Tamandua tetradactyla: one gene and its partner. The protein of the gene in region 2 interacts with the protein of the main gene of each other region in a biochemical or structural test. Links are inferred from orthologs where the notes say so. Each region holds a gene or a part of one and is shown on either strand. Other genes may lie near its edges. The genes, in order: KNG1 and KLKB1.

Evidence for each region.
Region 1: the proteins of KLKB1 (region 2) and KNG1 form a complex in vitro, tested with the Homo sapiens proteins (4 studies listed by BioGRID). The link is inferred for Tamandua tetradactyla from reciprocal best matches to the Homo sapiens genes KLKB1 and KNG1.

The regions. Positions count from the first base shown.
Region 1 is NC_135336.1:5,692,069-5,708,256, reverse strand, and holds the start of KNG1 (kininogen-1), read right to left. Parts: upstream 8,450-16,188; 5' UTR 8,271-8,449; coding exon 8,076-8,270; intron 5,576-8,075; coding exon 5,465-5,575; intron 3,512-5,464; coding exon 3,427-3,511; intron 1-3,426. Other genes in the region: HRG (histidine-rich glycoprotein), read right to left, coding at 11,498-12,211, 13,847-13,948, 14,803-14,883, 15,876-16,042. UniProt on the Homo sapiens protein: Kininogens are inhibitors of thiol proteases.
Region 2 is NC_135352.1:26,244,709-26,260,143, forward strand, and holds the start of KLKB1 (plasma kallikrein), read right to left. Parts: upstream 7,497-15,435; 5' UTR 7,411-7,496; intron 6,801-7,410; 5' UTR 6,800-6,800; coding exon 6,742-6,799; intron 1,031-6,741; coding exon 868-1,030; intron 1-867. UniProt on the Homo sapiens protein: Participates in the surface-dependent activation of blood coagulation. Activates, in a reciprocal reaction, coagulation factor XII/F12 after binding to negatively charged surfaces.

The DNA of each region.
Region 1 (16,188 bases), on a different chromosome or scaffold from region 2:
AAATGTAAAGTATATTTATTTAAAACAAATAGTGGTGCAAGGGTAGTATGAGGAGATCTGGGTTCAATTCCCCAGCTGTGTAGTCCACCCCCGCACCCCCCCCAATAGTCAACAGATGGTGCTGCAGTAACAGGGTACTCACGTGGAAAAGAATGAAATGTGACCCCACCAAACAGCATACAAAATGATAATAATAATAATAAACTGCAAGTCTGTCTTTGTTTATGCCCTTTCCCTGCTCTCTTTTACAAAGCACAGTTGGGGGTAGGGATCTCTTCCATGCAGCTTCTAGCAGGCAGTAGAGAAGAGCCTTGCCAAAAGGGCAGACCAGGGTGGGAGGACACGTTCTACCCGGACAAAGGACTCCCAGGAGAAAAGCAGCCGGTGGGCGCGCATGGCTTTCCCTCGGGGCTGCTGGAGGAGCCAGTGCGGAGGGAGGCACTCAGGGGAGTGACCACTGCGGCCTCCCTCCTCAGCCCTATGCTGTGAGTCAAGAAGGCCACTCCTGATGTGGCAGATCTGCAAAGGACATAGGTGTCTGCGGAAGTTTTGGAGGAAAGAGCTGGAAGAATAAGGAGTGAACGGCATTTGGGCCAGACCTGTTATTAGGGCGACTGTCACAACTGCTTCCTAAGGAAGGCTGTGACAAAATGGACTTGAGCAGCTCTTCCGGACAGGCAGTTCAAGGGCGTCTGGGGCTTAGTCGAGCTGGCTTTGCAGAAAGGTTCCTCAGAGGCCCTAAAACTGGCCTAGGGCTAAACTGCGTTCCTGCCAGGGAAAGTAGCAGGAGCTCTGACATTTTCCCTCACCACTCCCTTTCCTCCTACAGTGAACATCAGCCCCTACTCACTTCCTTCCTTTGATTATGCCCAAGTAGCAGCTTCTCAGTTTCTGTTACAATAGCTAAAGAGTTGAAGTCATTTTTAATTGTAGAACAAACAAATTTATCCTCTAATAAAAAAATTAAAACACTGTAGATAGTTTATTAGTTTCAAGTGCCAAAGCTCCTTAAAGGCTGGTTCAGGGCTTAATACATTTTGTATCAACTCAGCTCAACAGACATGTATTTTGAGCCAACTCTATGCCCGGTGCTGAGCTAGGAGGCAGGGTTATATTAACACATCAGTAATGCTCAGTGCTGAAGGAGATGGCAGTCAGGTGGGAGAGGCACACATGTAGATAGATGAATTAAATATAATTCTACAACTCACCAAGAGCTTGGAAAGGCAAGAGTTCAAGACTTTGCTGAAGAAATGGTCAAGCTGAAGAGAATGAGGAGGGTTCACCGGGCAAATGAGGTGTGAGAGGAGAAGGAATGATGGCACCCTGAGAAAGGTGGACAAGGGGAGGCACAGAGATGTGGGACGTGGTTATATAAGGAATTATATATAGCCTGCCTTTTACCACAGTCTAAGTGTGAGACAGGGACAGGTAAACTGAGGTCCGAACTGTAGGTTGTGTCCTTGTCTGGGCCAGTGGTTAAGTATTTTGAAGGGTCATAGACTCCTTGTCAATTCTGAGAAAAACTAAGTCTCCCTCCCCAGGACAATGTACATACAGTGTTTCCCACACAGTTTTACTGCGTTCATAGGTTTGCTCAAGTAAGTTAACAATGGTTTGCTCTGAGAATGGGGAGCCACAAAAGGGTTTTTAATAAAATGATGCAAATATTTAAAAACGAGTTTGTATTAAATTACCAAGTTATGTACGTAAGCACCCTCACCTCCTGACGAATGGAGACAAATGCTATAGAAAGGGGGGAGTAGCTAAAGGTGAGTGTGGGACACACTGGGAGGGGGAGACTTCCTCGCCCAGTGGGTGGTGGCCCCGACACTGCGCCCGTAGCCCCAACACAATCAGGAGGCCAGTGGCACCCTCAAGGCTGTCCCTCAGGCGTCAGCTGGTCCGCACAACTCCCATTACAACTGTTTCTTTCTTTCCTTCCATAAGTATGTTTCAGGAAAAACAATTTTACTGGCGACTATTCATCACTTTTCTCCCCTCCTCTCCTTCTCGCAGAAAGTGATGTTGAATCAGGGAAACAGGTAAAGTTAAACAACTGAAGAGGAGTTACATGAAAGAGGTGAGAAAATTAGTGATGAAAGGAGAAACAAAAAAGGAGAAACATCTAAGATGAAAGGGAAGGTAGAGTCAAGACCAGACAATCGGGGGTGGGGCCCAGGACTTGAACCTGAGCCTCTGCGTGGAAGGCAAACGTTCTACCACTGACGCACCTATGTACCCACGTGGCCGGCTCTTATCTAGAAGGTTGAATGAAGGTAAGAGAAGAGATGGAGTAGCCTTTGCTGCGTAGATTTCGAGGGTGAAGGGAGTGGGGAGAGGTGTAAACTCAGTTTTTCTGGGTGATGGAATGATTTTCCACCATACCCCAACAATGCTAGAGAGATTTTAAAAGTTAAACATTTTAATTACTTGTGATTTCTTTTCTGTTGTAATGCAACTTCTTGCAAGAACTGGAGCCTCGAGCGATATGAGTTTTTGTGGCTTACAGATGAATGACTAAATCCAGTACAGAACAGCTGCCACTTCGGTGAGGTCTGGAGATACTGCTTCATAGCCTCAGCCATAAAACCCAGAGGACGGAACCAGGAAGGCTTCAGTGACTGACATCACCTAGGTAGGGCCATTTTTCTGCACTTGGCACTTCTGCCACATTAGGGCAGGTGTTGAAGTGTTAATATTTGTCAAAAAGTTGCTCCATGATTGTATTCTTAAGGAATTTCATGTACTGAGGGAGTACCATTCCAGTTCTACTACCTACTAGCTGTGGAATCTTGGGCAGGTTACTTAATTACTCTGGGCCTCAGTTTCCTTACCTGTAAAATGGGGATATTAATATCTACTTCATAAAGTTGTTGCCAGGATTAAACATGTTAATTCATGTAAAGTGCTTGGCACATTGCTGAAGTGTTAGCTATGATTACTTCCATCATTATTCTCTCTAATTCATTATTATGATTGCTAGGCGTTCTCCCTTCAGGGCCATTATCTCATTTCAGTCTCACAACACTCCTGTGAAGTGCAAATTACTGTTATCCCTCTTCTATAGAAAAGGAAGAGGAGATCCAAGACGGTGAAGAGGTTTGAAGGATTTCAGGCCAGTTTTGATCTCAGACCTATGCTTCTCTCTCTCTATGGGATGCTGCCTACAATTCCACCCACTAATAACACAATGATTCATCGGAAGAGAGTTGGGAAATGACGCTGAGGGGATGATGGGATGAGCCTGGCACCACTCACGCCCTGGCTCACCCTAGAGCTACGCACTGGCTCACCCCAGAGCTGCACCTGGCAGTGCTAATGCCACCCCCGAGGAGAGAAGGCAGGCTCCCAGGCTAGCCTGGACTCTGGCATGCAGGAATGGTTATTTCCCCTCTGGGCAGTGCCCCAGGAGACATGAGCTACCTGGAGTGATGTGGCAGGTCTGCTGATTCACATTGAATTTCTGATTCTCTCTCTTCCACACTATGGCTGTGCATTCACCTGTGGACTAAAGAGAAAAAAAAAGGGGGGGTAGAGGGAGGCATAAAAAAGAGAGGCCATTCATTTCAGTCTTTCAGATGCAGCAGTCTGCCTAGTGCTGTCAGTCAATATGACTTTCCTTTTTTTTTTGACTTGTGAAGATTTTTCTGACAGAGAGTTGACACGCAAGAATGAATGTTTTTGTAGCCAAATGATTATTTTTTTAAGCCACCAATAAATGTGAGAAATCAGAGGAGAGGTAGTATAAAGGATGTGGTTTTCAATCTTTGTTTGAGCCCCGGAAATGTTTGTTTTTCACCAAGGTAAATGTAATGCCTTAGAAACAGCCTAAGTGCTCCTCTTGACTCACCCTTGAATTTCAGGGGATTAATTACATTTGCATAAACTTTAGTTTCAATTATTAGAAAGAGCAGGGAACGTGGAGACAAAAAAGTGCTGTCCAGAGTGGGCCGCAGTGGCTCAGCAGGCAAGAATGCTTGCCTGTCATGCCAGAGGACCCGGGTTCAATTCCCAGTGCCTGCCCATGTAATAAATAAATAAATAAATAAATAAATACTATCAAAATAGTAAAAAAAAAAAAAAAATTGAGGTCATAGATACGGAGTATCACTGGCTCACGAATGATTACTTAAAAAAAAAAAAAGTGCTGTGCAGGCCCAGCTCTGCCACTTGCTCACCGTGTTACCTTCGCCCAGCCCCTTTGCCTCTCTAAGGCTTGGTTTACTCATTTGTGTGGGAGAAACGTCACATCTATCTTGCGGGTTTGTCATGAAGAGTAAATGCCAAACACACCTAACGCTAAGAAAAAATTAATGCTTTTTTCTTTTTATTTCTTTTTCTGGAGTGATGCAAATGTTCTAAAAATGATCATGGTGATGAATATACAACTATGTGATGATACTGTGAGCTATTGATTCTATACTGTGGATAGAAGGCATGTGTGTGAAGATTTCTAAATAAATAAATAAATATATAAAAGCTGCTATAGTGTGGTGGGCAAATGTTAGGCATTGTTTTTCAAATAAGATCCTTCAAAAATGTCAATGTCATCAAAGCCAAAGAAAGGCTGAGGAAATTTCCCAACAAAGACTGAGACACGAAAATTAAATGCAAGACATGGTCCTGGACTATCTTAGACCAGAATAAGGAAAATTGCTATAAATGATTAATGAAATAATTGGCAAAACTTGAAAAATGTCAGTAGATTACGGTGCTGAATCATTGTTATACTTTCTGATATTGACAGTTATACTGTTGCAATGAAAATGAAACTCTTTGTTCTTAAAAAATACACACTAAAAATATTTAGAAATAAACGGGCATGTCTGCAATATATTTTCAAATGATTCCAAAAAAAAAAATAGGTACATATATAGAGAGCTAAAGCAAATATGTCAAACTGTTAACAATTGATGAAACCCAATGAAGTGTTTTGAGAATTCTTTGAACTATTCTTGTGACTTTTCTGTAAGTTTGAATAACTTCCAAATAAAAATTTCGGCATGGAAAAGCAGGTTTTATGCACAGTTTATGTCATTTCATCCTCCAGCAACCTGATCAGGTCAATACTGTCTGTACAGTGGTCGCACCAACCCACTGTCACACAGCTAGCACAGGCAGAGTTAGGATTCAGACTTGGGCTGAAGGGAACAGACCCACACTCTGTCCCTGCCAGCCCTGGAGCTCTTCACAAATATTGATCAGTTGTCTCTCTGGGACCTGCACATACCCCAGTAGGTCATTCAAGTCCCCTTCTGATGAGAAAGTTTCCTCCATGCTTAAATGGTGGTCTCTCTATACTCTTTCTGTCTATGGAAGAACATAGATATGAAATACTGTTCTTTCCTACACAGTTGAGGGTGCATCCCTCATAAGCTGGCATAAAAATATTAATCATTCTCTGTACAAGTGAAAAAATCTGTCAATAAACTGGAGGCTTGGGAGTCGTCAACAAACTTACAGCTCCTGCAGCTTGATTGTAGTCACAGTCCTGCCACGTCTTGCCACTTTTAACAGGACAATCGCCTTCCTTGATTTGATACTTCAAGGAATAAAATGTGTCGGGAGCATCCTGAAAGAAAGAAGCCAAAGAGATGTAATGTTCATACAACTGCCCCTAAAGCAAATAATTTGAGTGAGATCTGATGTAGTCAAGAATATTCGATCTTGATTTGATTTAATGACAGCAAAGGGTTCTTTCAAAATACTGAAAGTTATAACTATCTACTTGGAAAATATTCACAATATATTGATAAATATGTTTTTCAAAGATTACAAATAAGTATCTATAATGTTAGCATATTTTTGTAAAAACCGATTTATATGTACATGCATGTCTAAAACAGGTCTGGAAGTATATACATCAAGCTGTTTAAATGTCTCTCAGCTGTGGGATTACAATTGCCTTTCACTTTCTTTTTTAAACAAACCTTTCTGTATTGTCTGACATTAAAAAAAACAAGCAATTACTTTTACAATAGGAAAAAAACAAAACAAAAAAGAGATCATTTTTTCATTTACAAAATGTAGCAGGTGAGACTCAGCATCAAGGGATTGAGAAAACCTTCTTGACCAAAAGAGGGAGGAGTGAAATGAGACAAAGTGTCAATGGCTGAGAGATTCCAAACAGAGTCCAGAGGTTATTCTTACGCATTATTCTGGAGGTTATTCTTACACATTAAGTAGATATCATCTTGTTATTCAAGATGTAGTGGAGAGGCTGGAGGGAACTGCCTGAAAATGTAGAGCTGTGTTCCAGTAGCCATGTTTCTTGAGGATGATTGAATAATGATACAGCTGTCACAATGTGACTGTGTGATTGTGAAAACCTTGTGTCTGATGCTCCTTTTATCTACCATGTCAACAGACGAGTAGAACATATGGAATAAAAATAAATAATAGGGGAAACAAATATTAAAATAAATTTAGTTTGAAATGCGGGTGATAAATGAAAGCGAGGGGGAAGGGGTATGGTATGTATGATCTTTTTTTTTTTCTGTTATCGTTTTATTTCTTTTTCTGAATTGATGCAAATGTTCTAAGAAATGATGAATATGCAACTATGTGATGATATTGAGAATTACTGATTATATATAGAGAACGGAATGATTTAATGTTAATGTTTTTGTTTGTTCTTAATTTTTTTTAAATTAATAAATAAATAAATATTTAAAAATGTAGCAGGTATCTCTGGAGGGTGGAATTATGCATAGGTGATTTTAGCATTTAATTAGCTTTGTTTTCTAATTTTGCTAGGATGTCATAAAATAATTCTTTAAAGTTTTAAACTACTAAGGTACTGATTTAGATGAGCTTTCAGATGCAAAATCCTGGCATGTTAGAGCTACAAGGGATCTGAGAGGTAACATTCTCCAGCCCCTCCTTTTGCAAATGAAAGAAGGACATGCGCAGACAGGGCATGTCTCAGTTACCTTCATAAGGCTGGAAAGGCAGAGAGCTCAGGTCTCCTGACCCCAAGCAGTGCTTTCTTGGGGCCTGCTTGGTCACAGTATTTATAGCTAGGAGAAGATGGAGCTAGGAGAGGATGGAGTCAAACAGCATGTTCTCTAAGGTTCCTTCCAGATTTTGATAATTTGATTTAATGACAGCAAAAGGTTCATTCAAAATACTGAAAGTTATAACTATCTACTTGGAAAATACGCCCTAAACTAGGGTGGTAGTTGTACAGGCTGTGCCCACGTGGCAAATTAAAGATAGAGAGGTTATGATGTGGACATTTCAGAACAACAAACCACATTGGCCAATGATGTTGGAGAGCAAAGACAAAACCACTAAACTGCAGCTTGAGCGCACCAAGAAGACTGAAGGGTCATTTTTACTTTTATTTTCAGAGAAAAACACATTCACTGCTGTTTTCTTCAAAAAGTTGAGTTGTTTTTCTTTTCTCACTGTAGTGACCAATTGCTTTACCATTCCAGAGACACAGCTTTTTATAGGGAAACTTATTTAAAAATAAAAATCTCTTGAAAGACTTGTATTTCTTTGTTTCAGCCTATCTGGATTTTCTTCTATGTGAAAATCTATCATCAAGGCAGTGATAAAAAAAAAAAAAAATCAAAGCCCAACTAAAACATTGCTGTTTAATTTAATACAGTCAACCATACAGACTTCATGGAGATATCTTGACCAAAGCAGTAAAACATGTTAATCTCCCTTCTGACACTTCTTTAAGGAGTCCTAAAGTGCTCCCTCCCCAACTGAGACCTGGAGGTCTTTAGATTTTAGTTTTGGGTCAGAGATACAACGAATCCTCTTGTGGCCCAACTGAGTTCCTGGATTCTCCCACTTGGTTTAATCCCATCCATATGCTCTGTCTTTGTTCACTTCCCTGCTTTTACAGCTTCTCTGCTCACCCAAGCAGCCAAATCTGGTGGCCTGAGAGCGAGTCATACCGTGCCACATCCAGGCCAGAGAGTGGCATTATGCATTTCTAAGAGTTGTAAGAGTCTACCTCTGATAGTTCTTGGGAGGGAAGTTAGGAGGCAGAGAACTAGGACCCAAGTGATAGTCCAGGTCCCAAATGACCTCAAAGTTAGACACAGCTCACTTACCATCTTGGTGACTTCAAATACACGGTACAATACGAACTGGTTGCCACTTTGGCTTTCATCATTGTATTTCTTCAGGGCAGCATCCGCAGCCTTAAATACATCCTCGTCATTGCAGTCAACTTCCTGTGAGGAGGATTCCTGAGTCAGACTTGGTAGCAGCCTGGAGCAGAAGAAAATGATAACAATTAATTTCATGACTTAATGGTCTCCCCTCTAGTTGCTGAGGGGTGCCTTCACCAAGAATCTGCAGCCAGCTTGGGTGCTGATTTTACAATCTCCAACTCCTTCTCTCCTCTGTCCTTTTCTCTAGCTCTGCTCCAGCACCCTGGAGGCCTGATTGGACTCTTGGGGCACACACGGTTGCCCTATTCCAAAAGGTTAAACAGCTGTGCTGGGTTATCCAAACAGATTTTGAGCTGAAACATTACAACACTGGGGTCGCTGACCTGCTTGTTTGCATTCTGAAAGCACAGGTTAGCACAGAGCATATTTCCAGGTGATTGCACAAAGTACTTTAGCAAATCAAAAGAGTATCTAATAAAGGAGGTGGAAAAAACCCACTACCAGCTCTGTTATTTTCTTATGACTTTCCCAAAGCCATTTACAAAGGTCACTGCATGTAAGAACAATGTTACAATGTGTACGATGTATAGTCACAACTTTCACATAAAATTTCTTTGTAGGATATCTGCATAGAAGCAGGCTGAATCATATTGATCATATTGCATGCCTTGGAAGCCAATACACAGAGGTAACAAATGAGTGCTGGGAGTCCCTCACCAAGAACTTGGTGTGGCTGAAAATAAAGTATAAGCATCCTATCTGGTTTCTGGCCACGCCAGCCTCTTTCCACTCAATTGTGTTAATTCTGCAAGGGAAAAATGCTCCCCCAGTGGAAGAGGTAGAGGGGATGCATATGTGCAGATAGGTTTGATGACATCCTGCCTGCTCCAGCTTGCTTTTTGTTTCTGTTCTCATGGATATGGTTGTCTTACCCACCAGGCCTAAACAACCTGTGATGAGTTGAATTGTGTCCCCCTCCAAAGACATAATCAAGTCCTAACCCCAGGTCCCACCTTATTTGGAAACAGGTCTTAAAAACATGATTAGGTAAGATGAGGCCAAACTAGATTAGAATGGGGCCTAATCCAATATGACTGGGATCTTTATAAGAAGGGAAGAGGAGCCAGAGACAGTTGGGGGAGAAGGCTTTGTGAACACTGAGACAGAGATGGAACCTCAAGGCTTGCTCGCAAGCTACCAGAAGCTAGGAAGAGGCATGGAAAGATTCTTCCTTACAGGTTTTGGAGGGAGCATAGCCCTGCCTACACCTTGATTTTGGATTACTAACCCCCAGAACTTGTGACAATAAGTTTCTGGTGTTTTATGTCACTAGTTTGGGGTACTTTGTTACACCAGCCCAAGAAACTAACACACCACCTATTTGATAAAGTTAGACTATCTAGAGAGAGGAGGTCTGTAGATAGGTTTAAAGACTTGGGTTAGCTCTTGGTAGATGCTTGTCCTCAATCCTTACAAAAGTAAAATAAAATAAAAAGACAGTTGGGTTCTTTCCTGTTATGGACAGGATTTCTAGCTTGGTACTTGTACTGGTTTGAAAACATTATGTACCCCAGAAAAGCCATGTTTTAATCCTGATGCCATCTTGTGGACGCAGCCATTTCTTTTAATCCTGATTTAATATTGTAGGTTGGAATCTTTTGCTTAGATTATTTCCATGGAGATGGAACACACCCAATTGTGGGTGTTAACTTTTGATTAGATGGAGGTGTGACTCCACCCATTTCAAGTGGGTCTTGATTAGTTTACTGGAATCCTTTTAAATGGGAAACATTTTGGTGAAACCTTTTAAATTACATTGTCTAGAGAAACAACAGACACCTCAGAGGTGACAGAAACTTCATAGCAGAGCTGACACAGATGTGGATGTGTGGAGGACAGAGACACAGATGTTTGGAGATGCTTGGAGCCCATCAGACGTTGCCATAAGATGTTAAGCAAGCCAGAACCTGGAGAGAGCTAAGGGAAGCCATGAGATGAAAACCAGTCCTGGAGAAGTAAAGTGAAGACCCCCACAGAAACAGAGGCTGAAAGCAACGGAGCCCAGGAGCAAGGGACCAGCAGATGCCAGCCCCATGATTACCCAGCTGACAGAGCTGTTTCAGACCCATTGGCCTTCCTTGAATGAAAATAACCTCTTGTTGGTGCCTTAATTTGGACACTTTCACTTTCTTAGAACTGTAAACTTGTACTTTATTAAATTCCCCTTTCTAAAAGTCATTCCAATTCTGGTATATTGCATTGTGGCAGCTTACAAACAACAGTACTTCGGTAATTCCGTCTCCCTGAGAGCCTTTGGAAAAGAGGGCTCAGTGTGGGCTGAATGGTGGCTCTGTGACAGAGCAGTAGGAACAAGCTTTTGCCAGTAAATCCAACCTGGGTTTCCGTGTAGCTGGGCTACCTAATTGCTGTGTGGCCACGAGCAACTCAGGGGCCCATAACCTTTCCAAGCCTCAGTTGCTTCATCTGTAAAAGTTAGAAAATCATACTATAATTTTGTTTTGTTTTGTTTTGGAAGAGTGGATATGGTAGCATCCATGCAGGGCCTGGTAATTAGTTCTTACAAGTTTTATCACTGTGAGAGTGGGCTGGTTAACAATAGCACATTTTACTAAAGTGGTTTCAGGTGCATGGTGAGAGACGTGAGACAGTTTCAGACTCAGGGTGATAGAAGAAAATAGATTGTAAAAAATTAAGAGTGAATGAGACTCGGTCAAGTTCTTAGGCTGAGAGGAAGGATGAGCCATCAGAGAAGGAAACAGGTGAAGCTGGAAGAGTGAGGCAATAACTGGGAGTACCTGGTTCAGGAGGAGGTAGGAAGAACTAGTCAAGGCTGAACGGTGGTTTTACAAATGAAAACTCAAAACTCAGGGCATGGCAGTGTGTACAGGCAGTGGGATGAAAAGGAAAGAATGTGGCTTTGGAGGAAGGCCAAGTCTCACAATCTACCAACTGTAAGATCCTAAGCAACTAATTAAACCTCTTTGGGCCTCCTTTTCCTTCTCTAAAAAATGATGATTGTGACAGTATCTGGCTAGATAGTCACTAAATTCATATCCCTTTCCTCCTTGACATACATCTAGACTTCCTTTCCCAACCTTTCTTGCATGTGGCCATGTGACAGATTTCTTGTAGCCCTGAAATCTTTCCTCTTCTTTCCATTTATCTCTCTCTTCTCAAGCAGTCTGCTCCCTACTCACATTTCCCCCTAGCCTGAGTGTGAAAGTAAGGTTAAAATAACTTGTGATTTTGCATTTATTACTGGTCACATTTTATTTGTGTTTCTAATTCATGACATTACTCATCTTTCTCCATCTAAGAAATCAGATTTTATTTTGGAGCTATTGTGCAAAAAACTTGAAGATTTGTGGAAACTCTTGCTTGAACTTCCCTGGACATGATTTAGAAGCCGACTGAGGAAAGGGCTGAATCTCTGGCTTTCGGGGCTTGTTCTGATTTGGTGATGAGAACCTGGGAAAATTGGCTTCTGGAGGAGAAAGAACTTCACCTTTCTTCAGCGGGGGGAGTCGATAAACATAACCAATATATCCCCAAGGGAAGGGAAGGTGTCTTTTATCTGGACCTCTTTCTTCTGAGTTCTCAGGTGGTGGGCGATGGTGATCATGGGGACCCTTGCTGTGGTCTGGTGGGTCACAAGGTCCATAATCATGGAAATTATGGCTATGGGGATGATGGCCATGGGGATGGTGTCCATGGGGACGGTGTCTATGGGGACGGTGTCTATGGGGATGATGCCCGTGAGAATGGTGCTCACTGGAACTATGATTAGGAGAGGGTCCACGGGTATTACTCATGCCAAAACGGGAATGATGACATCTTGACCCTGAAGGGGGCAATGGTGGAGAAGTTCCTGCTTGAAATGGTGGTCTATCTGGATGATCTTTATCTTCTAGGGGAGGTGGGCATCCAGGTTCATGTGGCTTGTAGGGATGATGGTGCTCTCTGGACCCATTGGGCTTAAATGGGCGATTGTCAGTAGGAGAATGCTCATGCCCACCCAAATGAGGGTCTCCGCCACTGAAGTTTTTATGTTTCTGGTAAAGAACACAGAAAAATGAATATCACTATTTCACACAAAATGAGACATTAGATGTTTACCTTGATTTAGACCAATGGCTCTAGACTTTTGGATTCCTAAAATCCATTTAAAAAGTGGGATAACAACAAAAGATCATCAAAATTTTATCAAGTCAAGTTGGCATTTAAAATACAGGCAAAAACTGTCATCTACAACCACCATTAGTTCACAAAAGAAATAATATTTTGACAACACAATGGTCAGAAATAAATAGTCTGAGTAAAGGCTGGTCCTTTAGATGGGGATAAAGTTTGAGTTATGAGAAACTTTCTTTGCTACCATCTTTCCTCATTTGAAAATAAAGTGGCAAAACTATATTATATAGAACAACATTTGGAAGCTAGTACTTTATGATTTATATTCTCAACAGAGATCAAAGCTTTCTAATATAAGCATCCCTTCCTCCTTAAAGATACATGTTTTGCCTCTTTACTGCACTTCTTGTTCAGGCGTTTGTTTTTAATCTATGGAGCCATGTTCATGGTGACAGAACTGGTACCCCCCTCCCCTTTTTGGCTTGATTCTTGAACATATGAATTATTTTCAGGGTTTTTTTTATTGCTAATATTAAATTACTGTGAAGGACATCTTTGTGCTCATCCATAAAACAGAACAAAACTTTCTGAGACAGATATAAACTATGTGTTGCATCTTATTTTATATACCTTTATATAATAAAATTGAGGTCAATTTACTCCCTTTGGGTTAGGTTGTATGCCTAATATAAAAGCTAACAATTATCAAGTCTCAGCAGTGGGATCCTGACTAAAGTTCCATATTCAAGCTGATTCAAGGCTGACTGAATTGGGTCGTGCTTTTATTTTTCTGCCCAAAATCTCAACTTTTCCCAATTCATGACAAATGTTTTCATAGTTTTTGTGTCATGCCAGCAATTACGTTCCTTTCCCCATGGACCTGTTCTCTCTCTCTTTTCCTTTCCCCTCTTTCTCCAGTTACATATTTCTCTATTGATCTACTACAACTCATGCAGTGGAATTAGGCAAAACTCTGTCTCTGCAATAGAGAACAGCCCCCAACCTCCAACACACATAGAGGCATAAGAATTAATTCCCACTTAATCTGGCACTGCTTGTGACAAAGGCTACTTAGGCAGCTGTGGTAGTTAGATTCAGTTGTCAACTTGGCCAGGTGAAGGCACCTAGTTCTGTTGCTGTGGATGTAAGTCAATGGTACGTGAACCTCATCTGTTGCTCATTACATCTGCAGTTGACTAGGAGGCGTGCCTGCTGCAGTGAATGATGTTTGATTTAATTGGCTGGTGCTTAAATGAGAGAGCTCAATGTAGTGTAGCCCAAGCAGCTCAGCATACCTCATCTTAGCACTCGCAGCTCAGCCCAGGCCTTTGGAGATGCAGAAAGAAATCACCCCAGGGAAAGTTGTTGGAACCCAGAGGCCTGGAGAGAAGGCCAGCAGAGATCACCCTGTGCCTTCCCACATAAGAAAGAACCTCAGTGGAAAGCTAGCTGCCTTTTCTCTGAAGAACTAAGGAATTAAATCCCCTTTTATTAAAAGCCAATCCATCTCTGGTGTATTGCATTCCGGCAGCTAGTAAACTAGATCAGCAACCCACCTCAAGGTTGAAGACTTCACAGTTTACTAGAAGATTTTCAGGGGTTTCCAAGTCAGAGGCTTCTGTACTATATAAGAACAATGCCTTGCAGAATCCAAAGATCTATAAGGGAGAGAGACAACTGTTAGCATGAGTGTGTGCAGGTGGTGTGAATGTGTCCAGCTGCAGTCATGAACTTCAAGACATTCAGGTGAGGAAGAAGAGCTTTAGAAAAATAAGGGTAATTTCAAACATTCCCACCAGTTATTTAACAGTAAGTGCACATTCCAAGGTGTTTCATCATAAGTTGCCGTGGTTCTCTTCCATGAGCAGTAACCAGGACTGGGCTGCTCTGCAGGAGGCTGTGGGGAATACCACAACAGTGCTGACTTGCTTTGGGGGCACCTGAGTTGCCTATGCCTGGAGCCAATGAGGAACAGTGTAGAAGAGGGATTCAGACAACTAACTGGCCCCTTGGAGGAAAATATTGGAATGGAGGGAGCCAGCTTTGAGATGGATCTTCCTGGAATGACCATGAGGAGAAATGGATTCTAATCTCAGCTCTGTTGTGAACATTGGGCAAGATCCTTACTTTGCTGAATGCTCAGTTACCCCCTCATTTGTCAAATGCGATCATTGTGAGCAATAAATGAGATAAAGCAAATGAAAAAACCACATGTGATGGTTTTATTACAAGCTGGCTGGTAGTTTAAGTGAATCTTAATGGTTTAAATGATTTATTTTTAAGTTTAGGTATAATTATATATATATTATAAAATCGTATTATCATGATTAACCAAATTGCTCTCAGTCTCGGTTTCTCTACCTATAAATCAGATTAAAAATAGTTTCTCACATAGGATTGTGTGAAGATCAAGTAAATTAACAAATGTATAAACCTCTTAGATGTGTTCCTAGCTCATAATAAGTGCTCTCTAAATGTGACTTATTATTTTACAGATTTTCATTATACTCACATTCAAGTGCCTGGGAAAATGGTGTTTGGAGCAGTTCCTCACGGAAAAGGCCAAATAGTAACCGGTTCTTTCTCCTCCTCTCTGAAATGAATTGGGTCAAAACAATTTCAGGAACATAATAGTAAATGTCAGGAAATAGTAAAACATAATAGTACCAAAAAAGCAGTAGATACCTCAGTCAAATTCACTGTAGAGCACTATGGAAATTTAAAATCAGCAACAGGTTCCATTTTTCTTATGGTGTCTACCTTTTTTTTGATCATGTTAAGTGATCAAATGACTACCACTTCATTGAAAAAGGTTCAAATTATACAGAGATAAATAAAATAAGAAAAAAATCATCCTTCCTACATCCTGTCTCTCTTTTCCAGAAGTGCCATCATCATCCCTTTGATGTGTTTCTTTTTCTAGTCTTTTCATAAATGTACTGCACATATGCACATATATCCAATTATTTAATACAGATGGGCTCCTAGTCTAAGTTTTCTTATGTAACATGCTTTTCCCCTTAGCAATATGTCTTAACTCTTTCCATTTTCTATAGGTACAAATGTTCTTTTAATAACTGTACATTCATTTCATTGTTTTTATGCACTATAGTTTATTTAACTTTGCATTTGTAAAATGTTTAACACACACCAACCAGTTGTTGTTCAAGACAACTCTGGATGGGAGGCAGGGAAATCATCAACCTCTAAATATACCACTGGTTGTGTCTCTGAGCCTCAGTTTGCCATCATAATATAAGGAGGTTAGGACTGGATGATTTCCAATGACTCACATAACTCTAATATGCTCTTTTGTCTTACCCTCTTTCTTTTATAGATTTTCCTTCCTCTCCTTCACATATCCTCCCCTCTCCAAAACAAAAACAAAAACAAAAAACCTTGCAGGAGGGCAGTTCCTTGGTGTCTGTTGCCTGTCTAGTATAGCCCCAAAGCTGCATGAGGAGCCTTGACTAAGGATGCCACTGGCCAAGCGAGGCAGGTAGAGGGGCTAGGTGCCACTCAGTATGGGCCTGTCAGGTTGTAACTGGGTCCTTAGGCTGTAGTTGGACATTAGTGGAGACTCACCGCCCTTGAAACTCTCTCCATTTGGTCCACCTTAAAAGAAGTGAAATCATTGTTCTCTCTTTTGTATTTCTCAAGAGCTTCATCAGCTTGTTTTCTGTAGGGCTCAGTATCTTCAAAGAAATCTACGAGCACAGGACTATCTTTGGTATTGGCCAATGCAGAAGAGACTGGAGAAAGAAGATGGCAGTGTTAGTGCTTGGACTTAATACATATAAGCATGGTGTAATGGATGGGCAAATTGAGGGTTGGCAAGGCTCAGTAACATGTTCAAGGTCATATAGCCAAGCAGCAGCAGAACCAGACTAAAATTCAG
Region 2 (15,435 bases):
TATTCGCAAGAATTCTAGAACCTAACTCAGCTTTAACATGGTACCCTTGAGGCACAGCTTGGGTTTTTCTGCACAAGTTTCACTTGTTGGGTTAGGAGATGATTATACAATTGCTAGTTCTTAAACTCAGAGTGCAGAGGAAGGAGCTGCGGATATGGAAAGGAGAACAAGGAAAGTTCACTTTGGATATTAATCATAATTAAAGAAAATCAAGATGAAACTATGACTCTGCTTAGGCATCTTCATGTCCTAATAAGATTTTTAATTATCAACTATTTTTCTACTGTCGCAAGCTACCAGTTAATACACAGATATTTACAACCAAACATGCACACACACATACCTCCTTTAGGGGTGCAAACTGGCCTCAAAAGGGCCCCAGTACAGACCTGCCCCCTCCCAATGACAGAAGTTCTGTATCTCACTTATATTCTCAACAGAATGCATGTCTTAATGTTATGCCTTCTAAAGAGTGTGCTATCTAGCAAATGTGATATGGATGAGCCAGTAAGTATGTTTCCTTATTAGGGCAAAATATTCATCTGTGACGAGGTCTTTCTTGAGACCACCTCTTCACGTAATGATTTTTGGACATTTTCCTTGAGGCCTTGGATAGAAAATGACTTGCTTCTAATACTTTAAGTGAATACAGCGATTGCATAAAATGCCACTTTCCAGGCCCCAAGACTTTTTGATTTGTCAGCCTGGGCTGGGGGGCTTAGAACTCTTGCATTTGCAAGAACCATTCCAGGCAATTCTGATGAGGCTGTCCTGACCCCTAGAATATGCTATGACTTTTTTTTGCACACAGCTGATCGCATTTTGAAAAACGACTGGCTTCTCAAAGGATGAAACAGCAACTTTTACCTTTTCCCGGTGTCATTAGTTGAACTTGAAGGAAGAAAGCTGAACAGCAGGCACGTCGGGTGGAACGTGCACGCCGTCCGGTAGTGCTCAGCGCTCGGCGAGTACACAGAGGTTACATCCCCGCCACGGAAGAACGTGTTTTTATAGAGCTGAGTCATGCACCCTGTGGTAAATTCATTAAAAAACAACAGCAACAACATTAATTTGAAATGCATGCAAGTGATGATTTTAATAGAAACCCATCAGCATTCTGAACCTTCGTTTTCCACTGAATTCCCAACTTTACAACCTGACTATAGAAATGAATAGAATTAAGATATTAAAGCAATATATTTTTATTGCTCTATTGAACAAAGTGTAATGTTACTTAAAGTTACGTTCTGGGTACTTCGGTCTGAAAAACTTGATTTTTACTAAATTATATAATAATTTGTACATAAATTATCCCTAATGAAATACAATATTAGCTTGATTTCTCCCTGTCAGGTAATGTGCTGTGAAGACTGTATGCCTTAAAAAATTATATATGAGCTATTTTTAAAAATACTTTCCTGAGGAACAGGCTTACTAAATTCTCACATTTCTATAAGGAAAGCTGGAGCCTTTTTAAATCTGCACCTGACTTTATTTGGGGGGAAGAAGAGTTAAATAACTGAGTCTCAGTGGGGTCAGGCATGGCCAACAACACAAAGCTAATGAGTGCCCTGTGGCGTGAACCCACTTCTTAATCCCAGATTCCTTCCTTTCTCTATTGTGCAATGTTAAATATCTATCATCAGTCTCAGATAAATTTAAGCAAGTAATGTTTATTGGTTATCTATTACTTTGGAGATAACTGCAGAGGAGGCTATATATGTTCAGTTTTTATATGCTCATTTTTTAGGTACTTTAAGCAAATTCAAGAAAATAAACTTTGAACTATCTGCTCTTTGGAATTATCCGCAGCTCAGAAGTGCCTCACCCCACGTAGTATTAGGGAATTAAGTGTTACTTTTAGTCTTTTTAATACATGAGTTTGGTTTAACTTGAAAAACTCACCTCAGCATCCACTTAAGCTTTCCAATTCAGATCGCACATTCACTTTTGTCAGTGAACTGACTATTAACCACCCCATATTCCTATGATGACATCACTCATCCCCCCTCCAAGCCAATAGTCACTGTCCGATTTTTGTAATAACTGTCATTATATTGCCTTCCAGAGAACAGGACGCTTAGATAGCATTAAACACAGCAGATTAAAGTTTCTCTGTATAATCCCACCAGTCTCAGGATTCTGGCTTTGAACCCCACTGTGACTCCCAAACACAGCAGAGTTTTCCTCTTCCTCTCAGGGGTATGGCTAAGAGGACCACCCTTGGGGAAGGTTTTATATTTGAAAAGAGCCCAGCTCTCTTCAGAATACCAGTTCCCAATTGTGCACATCTAGATTTTCTATGCACACAAAACACTGAGGACTTGGTCACGGGAAAGAAGCTTGTTCTTTCAGATAATTGGTGTTTTCGACTGAGGTATAATTATCAAGCACTCTGCCCTTCCTTCCAAGTATGCACACACAAGTAGTGGCAGGTGCTGGCCAAGGGGTTCTCATTCTGCAATCAAGCCTGTGTGGGCTGCCACGTGATTCAGCACACACAAGGATGCCAGCTTTGGGGGTGACTGGAAAAAAATTCCAATGGGTACTCTTTTGTCTATCCTCATAAATCAGTGATCTTTGTCTTGTACTTGAAATGTACTTTAGAGTATATGTGAAGCACTCTTGTGTAAGTTATCCTGGTTGTGGCTTGCAGTTTTCACACTGGCCAAATCATGGATTTGGGAAGGTTGTTCTCTCTTATTAAGAAGGTATATGATCAATGATATGAAGGAAATCAGGTTTTTTTTAATGGGCTAAGGATATAAGAAAGATAATTTACAAAATAAATACAAATGACTAGTAAGTATATGTGCTGGTTTGAAATGATGTATGTACCCTAGAAAAGCCATGTTTTAATCCTAATCCCATTTTGTAAAGGCAGCCATTTCTTCTAATCCTTATTAAGCATTGTATGTTTGAAACTGTAAGTAGATCATCTCCTTGGAGATGTGATGTAATCGAGAGCAGTTGTTAAACTGGATTAGCTGGAGGCATGTCTCCACCCATTTAGGTGGGTCATGATTAGTTTCTGAAGTCCTATAAAAGAGGAAACATTTTGAAGAATGAGATTCAGAGAGAGCAGAGCAGAATGGCATAGTCACAAGAAGCAGAGTCCACCAGCCAGCGACTTTTGGAGATGAAGAAGGAAAATGCCTCCCGGGGAGCTTCATGAAACAGGAAGCCAGGAGAAGAAGCTAGCAGATGATGGCACGTTCACCATGTGCCCTTCCAGATGAGAGAGGAACCCTGACCGTGTTTTCCATGTGCCTTTCCAGATGAGAAAAGAACTCTTGACTGTTCACCATGTGCCCTTCCACTTGAGAGAGAAGCCCTGAACTTCATCAGCCTTCTTGAACCAAGTTATCTTTCTCTGGATGCCTTTGATTGAACATTTCTATAGACTTGTTTTAACTGGGACATTTTCTCAGCCTTACAACTGTAAACTAGCAACTTATTAAATTCCCCTTTTTAAAAGCCATTCTGTTTCTGGTATATTGCATTCCGGCAGCTAGCAAACTAGAACAGTATAAGAAAAATCACAAATATCTCATATACAAGCAAATTAAAGCAATTAGATGCTATTTGATAAAATAGCAGATAAAAAAATTGTCTAAATACCCAGTGTTGATGTACTGATTTTGGTTGCCAATAATAGGAAACCCAGCTCAAATGGCTTAAATCCTAATCAAGTTCATTGGTTCAGAAGCCATGAAGCTTATGGTACATCTGACTTCAGGAGTAAATGTGTCATGCTCAGCCAGTCCCATCAGGACCCACTTGGCCTCCATCTTGTTCTACTCCATTGTATGGCTGTTTGTATCAAGCGCTACCTGGTATCAAGATAGCACCAGCAGCTTAGACGTTCTCACTCTCTCTTAGTTCAGGCCTAATTGAAAACCACTGAATATCATTTCTAGAAATCTAAGCAAACATCTTATTGCAAAGTCTTGGCTCAGATAGGGCCACTGTGGCCTATGGGATGTGTGCCCTACCTAGTTCCTACCTGGCTGGGTCCCAAGCCCTAGAGTCAGAAGCAAAGAAAGCATCACCAGAACCACATGGACCCAAACTTTGGGACCAGTGCAGTTTCCCTAGAAGTAAATTAGAATATACCTTCCCAGAGGTGAATGATGTGGACCACTGTTTTAGTTTCCTAGCTGCCTAAACAAATACCATGTATTTCATTGTCTTAAAAAATGGGAATTTTTTGGCTTATGGTTTTGAGGCAAGGGGAAGTCCAAAATGAAGGCATCTTCAAGGTGATGCTTCTGCCCAGAAGACTGTTCTGGTACTGGTTGCTGGTGGCTCTTGATCCTTGGGTTCTCTGTTGCATGGCAATGCACATGGAGGCCTCTCCTTGCCAGGTTCTGTTAACTTTCAGCTCTGGCTACTCCCTCTGGCTTGCTCTCTCTCTCTCTCTCTCTCTCTCTCTCTCTCTCTCTCTCTCCTTGGCTTCTCCTGTAAGACTTTCAGTAAAAGGATTAAGATCTCATCCTAATTCATCTCAACCACACCTTAACTGAAGTAACTTCATCTGAAGGTCCTTTTCTAAGGTTTCACCCTCACAGGAATGGATTAAGATTATGAACATGTTTTTCCATGGTACATGGCTCCAAACTGCCACAAGCACAAAGCAGCAGATATCTTATGAAGTTGACATAAGAATGGATAAATGACCCCTAGAATGAGTTGAGACTCAGCATCAAGGGATTGAGAAAATCTTCTTGACCAAAAGGGGGAAGAGTGAAATAAGACAAAATAAAGTGTCAATGGCTGACAGTCCAAAGAGAGTTGAGAGGTTATCCTGGAGGTTATTCTTATGCATTAAATAGACATCACCTTGCTGGTCAAGATGTACTGGAGAGGCTGGAGGGAACTGCCTGAAAATGTAGAGCTGTGTTCCAGTAGCCATGTTTCTTGAAGATGATTGTGTAATGATATAGCTTTCACAATGTGACTGTGTGATTGTGAAACCTTGTGTCTGATGCTCCTTTTATCTACCTTGTCAACAGACGAGTAGAACATATGGAATAAAAATAAATAATAGAGGAAACAAATGTTAAAATAAATTTAGATTGAAATGCTAGTGATCAATGAAAGGAAGGGGTATAGTATGTATGAATTTTTTTCTGTTTTCTTTTTATTTCTTTTTCTGAATAGATGCAAATGTTCCAAGAAATGATCATGATGATGAATAAGCAACTATGTGATGATATTGTGAATTACTGATTATATATGTAGAACGGAATGATCAAACGTTAAGAATGTTTGCGTTTGGTGTTTTTTTGGTATTTTAAAAAAATTAAAAAATTAATTTAAAAAATGAGTGCTTTATATATGCAGCTGGAAAAAGTCAACTTTGGAATAAACTTTCTAGAAGATAATTTCATCCATACCTGTCATGAAACCTTCATAAACCTCCAAAAATATTCACACCTTTGTAGCTAATATTTTTATTCACACCTTTATTTCCAAAAAGTTATTCTAGAAAAAGTAATGAATATATGTCTGAGAATGCACATACAAAAATATCAAGAATAGGAATAAATGCTAAACACCCCAAAAGTGATATATATTTATGTGCATGAAAAGATAGACATAATGGGGTACATAAGAGTAAAAGAACATCTATATTTAACATCTTTTTAAAATGTGTAATAGGCATATATAGAAAAATATGTGAAAGACTAAACAAAGGATTTTTAACAATGGCTATCTCCACATATACAGTTTCTCATTTCCTGCTTATTTGCATTTTCCCATCATGATCAGCTTTTTTTTGCCAAAAGAATAAAATTGAAGTGGCTCTGGTCCTGGTCCACAGTATCTCTGGCTTCTACTCTTTCTCAGTATTCAATAAATTTTTATATTGTAATTATTGTGATTCAGAAGATCATTTTGGAGTGAAGAGACAGATGGCATTGTGATTAAGGAATAAAAGCTTCAAAATGCGTCTTCCTGAAGAAATTATATCTCTTTACAAATATAAACCTTACTAACAGGGTCATCTTAGCCATACACCTGAATCGTAACTAAACAGCCATCGCATCTGTGGCCATCTTATGTCAACATGGACTCAGAATTAACCCCTTGTGGTCGTACAGAGAAAACTCCACTCTGCAATTACTAGTGAAAAGCAATGTACAGAATTATCCTTATTCTCTGAAAATGAATGGAATGGACAAAGAGAGTAATAAGACCAAATCCTGGTGAGGAAATATATCCAGCCAAAGATTTTCAAATGGATGGTTTACTAAGTTAAATTTAAGTCAAGAACTTTCATTTCCAAACTGGTTCCCTAGTGGCCTAAAAAAGTGCAAGTATATGCCATGCACCCACTGCCAGACACTCTAAAATGCCTAGCATTCTTGAATATTCAAGTATAGCTGACTTTTTTTTTAAAAGAAAAGAATGTTGATTTAAAAAAAAGTAGAGGACTAATTGTACTGAAATTGTCTTTGCAGAGAGTTATTTCCAGATGCTAGTTTCTGGTTGCACATATATGTTACTCTGAACTCTGGAGCTCCCCTGGCCCAGGTGTGTGATACGTGTCCACAGCAGTAGATCTGGGAAGAGGTCCTGGCCTCCACACATTGAAGCAGTAGGAGCTGTTGACTTTTCCAGGGCTGCCTACTTCCCTGAAGCTGTGTGTTTAGTAGTTTCATCTAAGCATGGTGTATCTTAACTACCCTTCTTTTTCACGTCCTTAGCTTTATGCCCTGTTGACCATTTACTTACCACAGGACACCGTACCAAATAAGCAAAGGAAATAGGATGCTTGCCAGAATGAAATCATCCTAAAAATGAAAACAACATTTGCATAATTCTGCTGGTTGTGGATCATATTCAACATGAATCTTAATGTAAGGCGGTGCAGATTTTCTTACAAATGTCCTAACTGCAAATCTGAGCACACAATCGCCAGTATGGAGAACAAGGGCTTTCTGTCTATTTTCTGTGCAGGGACTTGGAAAACGTGGAATGCTTCCGAAGATATAAATGGAAAACTCTAGACAACTATCATATTTGTTGCTGATTGCAGCATGTCATTAATCATTTTGGAAAGGGAATTGGATAGAGAGAAAGTAAATAGTTGTGAAACCCCTTGATTTTAGCAAAAATGAAATTAATGTAAATAATAGCAATAACACAGTCCAGAAGGCCTAAGTAAAGAAAAGCTCTGAGAAAATTCAAACCCATTTCTAATTTCAAAATCTGTCAAATATTCTCTTTGGTTTTAAAATATCTTACACCTAAGTATTTTCACATGTAAGAACACCAATTCCTCCTACTTCTAAAATACTTGGGAAATTAGAATATGTAACTAATAGCGTCTTCATATTGTAAAAATTATAGTTAAAAACACCACTTTATTTGAAAGCAATCAGAATAATAGAAATTCTCTACCTGAAAGCACAATTGCTTCCGTGGTTCTGGAGGTGAGGATGTCTTCTTGCCACTTAAAAATGGACTGCCCTCAAGCTTTCCTAATGGGTCCCTGCAGACAATATTTGCCTGGCTCCAATATTGACATTGATTATCTGCCAACAGTTTCAGTATTTTGTTCTATTCAAATATTCCATGATCCCTTTGCTGAGCTCAGCAATCTTTTCTAATAGATTAACTATTTCATCCTAGGGCCACACAATTCGTGCCCAAGTTTCGGCGCTTTGGAATATTCACTACATCCCGGTTATTTGAGGTTGGATAGATTAGAGTTTATCTGTTTTGGAGTTTTTCCATTTGAGTTGCCTGGAGGCACAATTGAATAAAAGGTGGGTATGAACAGCTCATCCTGGAGGGAAATTTTGTAAATGCCGTTTATACCTTCCTGTACTCAAGTCAAAGAATAATATAACACTGAAGCTTTTCATTTGGAAGAGATTTTAATTGATGTTTAGATCTTCTACCCACCCAATTCAGGAAACCTACTGCATCAGGGATCAACATGGCCCATGGACTAAATCTGGCCTGGCCCTTGTTTTTGTAAATAAAGTTTTATTGGAACACAGTCATGCCCATTCATTTATGATTGTCCATGGCCACTTTTGCCCTGCAAACACATAATTGCAACAGAGACTGTATGCCTGAAAACCTAAAATATTTACCGTCTGTCCCTTTACTGAAAAAGTTGGAGAAACCTGTGCTAAACCACTCATTGTGTGGAGTTTAGCCTTCCCTGTCAGGATGCTTCACTGAAGGGAAATCACTGGTTTTTCAAGAGTACATTCCTGCTTAAGGAACTCCAATTCTTTTTTTCCTTCTTCCTCTTCATTTGTTTTAAAGAAGTCTCCCTTTATCCTAAAATATACCACCTTGCAGCCACTATTATTTAGTCCTTGATATATCTACTAGAACCACACAAAATAATTTATGACTCTTCCTATGCTTTTTTAAATATTTAGAGATTATAATCATTTGCCTACTAAATCTCCTCTGTTTTCTTGCCCCTCTTAGAAATTTGGTACATCATTCTGGGGAGTAAAGTTAGATTTAGGGGGAGCTGAATCTTCAATAAATATTTTATGCATGTTACTACAACACATAACTGTGTTTCCTAGAAATGTAGGATAATTTTGCAGATAAAATATTTTCTGGTTATAATGAAGAGGTGTATTTCAAAAATGTATACTGCACTGCCTTGTAGATTTAGGCTATCAACTGGCGTACCAGTTACCAACAAAAGAGAAACCTCTTCTCTGTGCAATATAAAATAATTTAAATAATTTAAGCCTTGGATTCCATCTGCTACCAGCCTCAACAGGAGAAAAGATGATTAAGATGAAAATACCCTTCCTCCAGATTACAGTAGAAGCCATCAGAGGGTGTTTCTCTAAAAGGTGAAATTACGGGTTTTGCCTATTTAAATGCTTCCGTGTTTGACTTGAAATTTTTCTTGTAGTGAAATATAAATTATATTCTAGTAGTACAATAAAGCCCCAAATGTGTTTGTCCATTTAAGAGAATGGAATCAGAATTAAGTCGAAAAGAGGCAGAAAGGAGAATTCTAGAATGTTCCCTAATACTTCCCCAGTAATCCCAGAGACTGAATATGATGAACTATCACATCCGTGATTGCATTATGTTCCATGGCAAAAAGGATTTTGCAGGTCTAATTAAGGTTCCTATTCAGTTGACGCTGAGCTAATCAAAATGGAGATTATCCAGACAAGCCTAGTCTAATCACATGAGCCCTCTCAAAGCAGACAGTTCCCTCTGGATATTAGCGTAAGGAAAAGTCAGAGACATTTACAGCATGAGACAGATTCTCGACAAGAGAAGCTCTCCACTGCTGGATTTGAGATGGAGGGGGCTATGGAACAAGGACCTGAGAGCAGCCTCCAGGAACTGAGAATGTCCCTGGCCACCAGCCAGCAAGAAAACAGGACTTCAATCCTACAACTTCAAAGAACTAAATTTTACCAACCACTTGAATGAGGCCAGTGTGGCCCACACCTTGATCTGGGGTTTACAAAACACCCTTTGCAGACCAGCCAGTGAAGCCTGCCCAAATTTCTGACCTATAGAACTGTGAGATAATAAATGAATGTCTTAAACCACTAAGACTATAGTAATTTGTTATGCAGAAGAGAAAATTAATACAGAGGCTAATACTTATCTGAACTGACGATGTCCTAGAGAGAGTGAGGGGGCTTGGAGCTGGACACTTCTGAGTTGAGGCAAGGAGGGAGGGTCCCTGATAGGCCCTGGGAGTCTTGGGTGGGGAGGATGGGCCAAAGGCAAAGTGGTGGTCTGCCGTGGGACCTGCAAAAGAACCTGTGGTTTCCAAAAAGGAAACAGCTGTGACTGATTGCCTGACGAAGTTGCAGTGTGGCCAGGAGATACATAAGCCCTCAGGAGAGAAACAGGGACAAAATCAACCTTGTGCTGCTCACTAAGAAAAGAAGCTTCCATTCACTGAGAAAGTCTTTGGTGATATACTTTTGATTCTTGAAAGATTTCTGCTAGGACATTAAGTATCCCTAGGAAGGTCATATTTCAGTTTCTGCCCTCTTCAGTGCACCTCAGTGAGGATTATAGTGGTATAAAAATGTATTTCCTAACACACCAGCTATCATGTCCTTGTGGTCAGGTAATCTCTGGAAGGAGAGGGCAGAATAAAGGGAGGGTCAACTCACTCTCTGAAAGGAATTGAAAGACACTGGAGGGAAGTTGCTCATGGGACATGAGCAAACCACCAAATGCTGGAGCCCAAGCAGTTGGAAATGGTTGAGGGATTTTTTTTTTACATATATATATTACTGAGACATCAAGTTTCTATTCCCCAATCCTTCAATAAAGTCTATGACTCATAAAGACTTTGTCTAAGTGGAATTGCGTATGTGTGTGTGTAAGTGAGAAAAGAATTCTAATCCAGTGAAAAGACTGCTGGGCTGATAGTGAAAATCTTATCAGTGCTGCCACATAAGGATTGGTTAGACCATTCCCTGTGCAACTCTAAGGGATGCTATTCTAAGCAACCTTGTGCTTATTGATGTTTACATTTTTCTTAGATAATTGTGCAGGCGATGGAGACCCATGGCTTGAGGTTGAGGGAAGGAATGAAGACCAGCTGCAGCTCTGGAATGATCCACAAAGTGGCCCATTTAGCAAAAGGCAGCTCTGGGATCCAGAGTGGACCATGCGAAGGACAGTGCCTCCTCCCCACCCCCACCAGCACCCACAAAGAGACCAACACAATTGTGAGGTGAAGGAGTTGCAGTATCATTTTGATTTAATGTCACCCTGAAGGAGCAGAGTCAGTCTGCCTGACTCTTGAGACTTTTTTCTGACAGCAGTTTCTGTGCAGGGGCTTAAGTGGAGAGACCCAGCCACAGAGGAAATGGGTAGGGGGTGCAAATGTAGCTCAGTGGTAGAATTCTCGCTTGCCATGCAGGAGACCCAGGTTCGATTCCTGGCCCATGCACCTCCCCAAACAAACAAAAACCAATTCAACAAATGGTGCTGCAATAACGGGATACTCACATGGAAAGAGTGGAATGTGATCGCTGCCATCCAGCATGCGCGCGCGCACACACACACACACACACACACACACACACGAAGGAAATGAGCAGCACCAGGATGAAGGAAATCTTTTAACTGTGAGGGAACCTCTTCACAGTGACCCTGTTCATGCCACGATCCTCCTTTCTCCCCTCTATTATTGCAACAGCTTCCTCCCTCCTCTCCCTGCTGCTCTCCTGTAGCACTGCTGGAGGATATCTCTGTGAGGATTGTGCGTGCTCCTTGTGGACAGCATTAGAGAATAAAGATAGAGGACTTAGCCCTTAATTCAAGAAATAAGAATAAGAAAATTTAAATATCGTTAGCAATGCAGCCTATTTTTCTATCTAGCACCTTCCTGTACTTACATTCCCAATAACAGGATTTAATCACTGAATAGAAGGGTAATACAGAAAAGACTGGAGGAAAATAGCAGAGTAGAAATAATCTTGGATTTTCCGTGTTCTCGTATGAAGTCACATAAAACAGCATGATTTTATATTTAAAAGGGGAAAATGGGATGTTAAAATTGATAACCTCTTACACGTGCCCTGCATATTGGAGTGATACTAGCAAATTCTATAAGAAACCACCACAATATTTCACTCAGCTAAAAAAATGTGTCTGTCTTTCTCAGAATCGCAATCCAATGTGGGTTGGGTGGCTGTCCTTCTTGACTTTTCCAGTGGGGATCCAGGGAGCCAAGCTCCTTTCATGTTTGCAGTGCCACCACCTTCAACATTTGGCCTCCACAGTCAATGCAGAATGAGAGATAAAGCACACAGGGCTCTCTATGGTCAGGCTTTTGTCTGCATTCCATAGCGAGAACTTTTGCCTGCATTCCGTAGTCAGAATTTTTGCCTGCATTCCATAGTCAGAACTTTTGCCCACATTCCATAGGCAGAATTTAGGCCCTTGGCTCATACTGAACTGTCAGAAAGGCTGTGAAATGTAGTCCTGCTGTCATTTAGGAAGAGGAAATGGGACTGGTGAGCATCTTGCCACTGTCCTCTACAAGCTTACAATTCACATGTAATGTTAGTATGTTTATATTATAGTGGGACCCCAGGAAGTTAACCCCAAATAATATTTTAAGAAAACCCAGTATTCTAATATAAGAAGCTGCATGGTCTAGACCACTCCCTTACACACACACACACACACTCGAGCTAATTCTTTGCCTTTGTTTCCTCGCAATTTCTCCCCTCTTTACTTTGCTCCAGTCTCATTGGTTTAATCGCAGTTCTCTGAGCACATCAAACATTCTCCAGTCTCAAGTCCTTTGTACTTGCCCCATTCCCTGTAATGCCCCTCTCCCAGCTACCCACACAGCTCATTTCATTCTGGCTTCTGCTCGAACATCACCTCCTTTGGAATGCTGTTCTTCAATACCCCATCTAAAAGGGTCTGCTCCATTATGCCTGTCTATTTATCAGGCTTTAATTTTGCTCACAATACTCATCACTGCCTGACATCTGTAACCTATTGTGGGTTTGTATATTGTTTTTATGCTCCTAATACTCCTACTACTTTGCAAGAGGTATCATCAATGAGAGCTGGGACTTCAGTTTGTTTGCTTTATTTCTCCAGAGCCCTGAATACTGCTGGACATATATTTATGGGATGAATATGTGAAATGATGAATAAATAAATAAATGAATATTGAATTATATGTTCATACTGGGTCACTGTCTATAAAGTATGTGATTTTCAAACACACTAGATTGAAGACAGGATAGTCTCTTTATTCACAGTTGGGAACCATCTAATTCACACATGAGAGTCACTATCACCCTTGCAAACTAAGATGAGCGCTGGCCTTCGGTGGCATTGAAAGTGATTGTTGGATTAATAAGCCAGGTTGGCTGTGATTCCACTGAATGTTTTTTGGTAGAAACAGATATTCTCTTGAGATTCTGTCCAACGGCATCAATGTTGCGTCATTAGATCTTGGTTTTCAGGCTTCACAATGTTGATTGTGTTTACAATTTATTAAGGCATATAAAACTGAAAAGACCAAAGCACAATCACACTCCTACAATGATGTGCCCATAAAAAGAAATTAATTATACTGAGTGATTTAGACATCTTAATTTACTGTACTTCCATAAGCCCAAAACTGAAAACTTGGGAGTGACTTTAGTAAGAAAGGAGGCAAAGGATGCAAGTAAAAAAGAGTTAAGTCCCATTCCCAGGAGTGCCCAGTAGGCTTTTCTTCTGCGCCTACATATCTTTTATCATGACGATACATCATATACCTTAACTATTTATGGCATTTAAAATACTTAAAACTTATAAAAATAAGACACTTGATCACATCTAAATATTGTGACAGATTTTTCCTGTCTATATGACCCTTTTGAAGGACAGAAAAATGTATCATAAGGTCGTTATTCAGAAAACCTTCCCATGAAACCTAAGTTGAGAAGTATTAAGAAGGGAAGAGCTCAGTAAATGTGAACCGCATTGAAACTGATGATAAGACAATGGTCGGAAGGAGAAACGAAGTGCCTTGGTATGTCCTTTTTAGGACCAGAACATCAGGAATAAGAACAGCTAAAGACTGGGAGATAATTTAAACCCTGAATTTGCCCAAAATAAATAAATAACCCATTTGATGGATCTCTTTAGATAAGAAACTGCAGAAATAATGTCACCAGTACACTGTGGGTAACTACAGACAAGAGATATTTTTCTACAATTTTCAATACAGCTAAACAAAAGAAAAACCAAGCAGAGCTTGGTCAAAGTAGCACAGGAAAAACAGACTAATCAGTCTAGTGATATAACAGGTTGGAGCTGAGAAACTAGACTGATGTGCTAGGTTGCACTACTAGGTTCTAAAATGAAGCACTGTACCTTTACTATTCTTTCATTTATGAAAGACCATAGCATTGCACTTACTCAAGCTCTGTTGCATTTCCATAACTAGAAGACATATGTTCTGTGTTGATGCTCCAACCTGAAGGAGAGTGACTGCAGAACACAAAGAGAAGAGTGTGAAGACATGAGGTCATACCCAAAGAATGGGGTCCCTTTTTCATCCCACAGCAAACATAACCAACGTTGAGCTGCTTTTAGGTAAAAGTGAAAGACCATGGACTTCAACCAAACTAAGTAAAATGGATCCCAAGGTAGGGATTCAACATTAGGAAGTTAACAGTAAAATGGGCAAGAAGGAGCTGGCCCTCAGAATCACCTGGAACATGGGACTGAAACCCCTCCAGGATTTTCTCCAGTTCTTACTTCTGCTGCTTCTTATCAGCTTCATTCCGACTCCTAGCAGCTGCTCCAGAGCGTCTCCTGCCAATTGATCCAAAGCCTCACAAACCTGAAGTGTCCTCCAAAGGATTTTAACTGCCCCTTACTCAATATCAGCTGGAAAAAGGTAAAGGGAGAACTCTTATTTGCCTCTGCTGGAATTCATCAACTTACAGCAAAAGGGGAGGAATCACCCTAGAAACCTTTTATCTCCGCTTACATTCAGTGTGTATGTGCTGAGGAAGCAAGGGGTGAGGAGACTAGGAGAAAAGGGAGAATTTAGAATGCAATCATTTAAAAAATGAGGATGCTCTTCCTAGAAAGAGTGGGGAGGTTTTCTAGGCAGATCAGGAATTTAAAAAATGTATCTGCCACAGTGATCCCACTAGATGCTGGAAAGAAGACATTTTGATCTTCTAGATAAAAACATGAGAGATAAGGCTCTTTTTCTGACTAGCACCTCTTAATTGTGAATCACATCAGTTGGTTTAAAACTGACATTCTTCAATTGTCTATGCCAGGGATTGGGGCACCAACTCAATAGTCTGCCACCTGGAGAGGTTTCCCAACTGCAAATACCTGGATCCCAAGGATGCCTGTGGTTTTTACTGATTCCCAGGAAACCCTAGGCGAGTTCATATTTTGCTATCAGCTGAGCAAACTGCTGTGATGTTTCTATTCCGCCTCTTATTTATTATTCAGATTCGTGGAAACTTGAAATCAGTCTTTGACAATAACATAAGGAACAGTTTATCAGAAACCTCGTGTCACCAAAGACATAAACTCTAAAATGTTGTTTCTTTCATTACTCATTAGACATCAGCCACCCACTAATTTATCTTTTCAAGTTATCAAGATGTTTCAAACTGACATTGATTCTTAAAATAAGATGCAGCACCCATGTGTAAAATCTCTTTATTTTTCTCGAGATACGTCTTTCAAGCAAGAATAGGATAGGTAATAAGGTATACAAATAGGTATTTCATCCCTCCTCTTATTTAAAAAAAAATCAGCATCTGCATGTTGATACTGCAGAACATGACATAATATTTCAAGTCTAATTTTGACATGATTTAAATGAATTATCAATGAAAACATATATCACAAATTATTGTGGGGCCAAATGAAGATGTGAAAACAGAAGGTAACATTAAGAAATGTTTT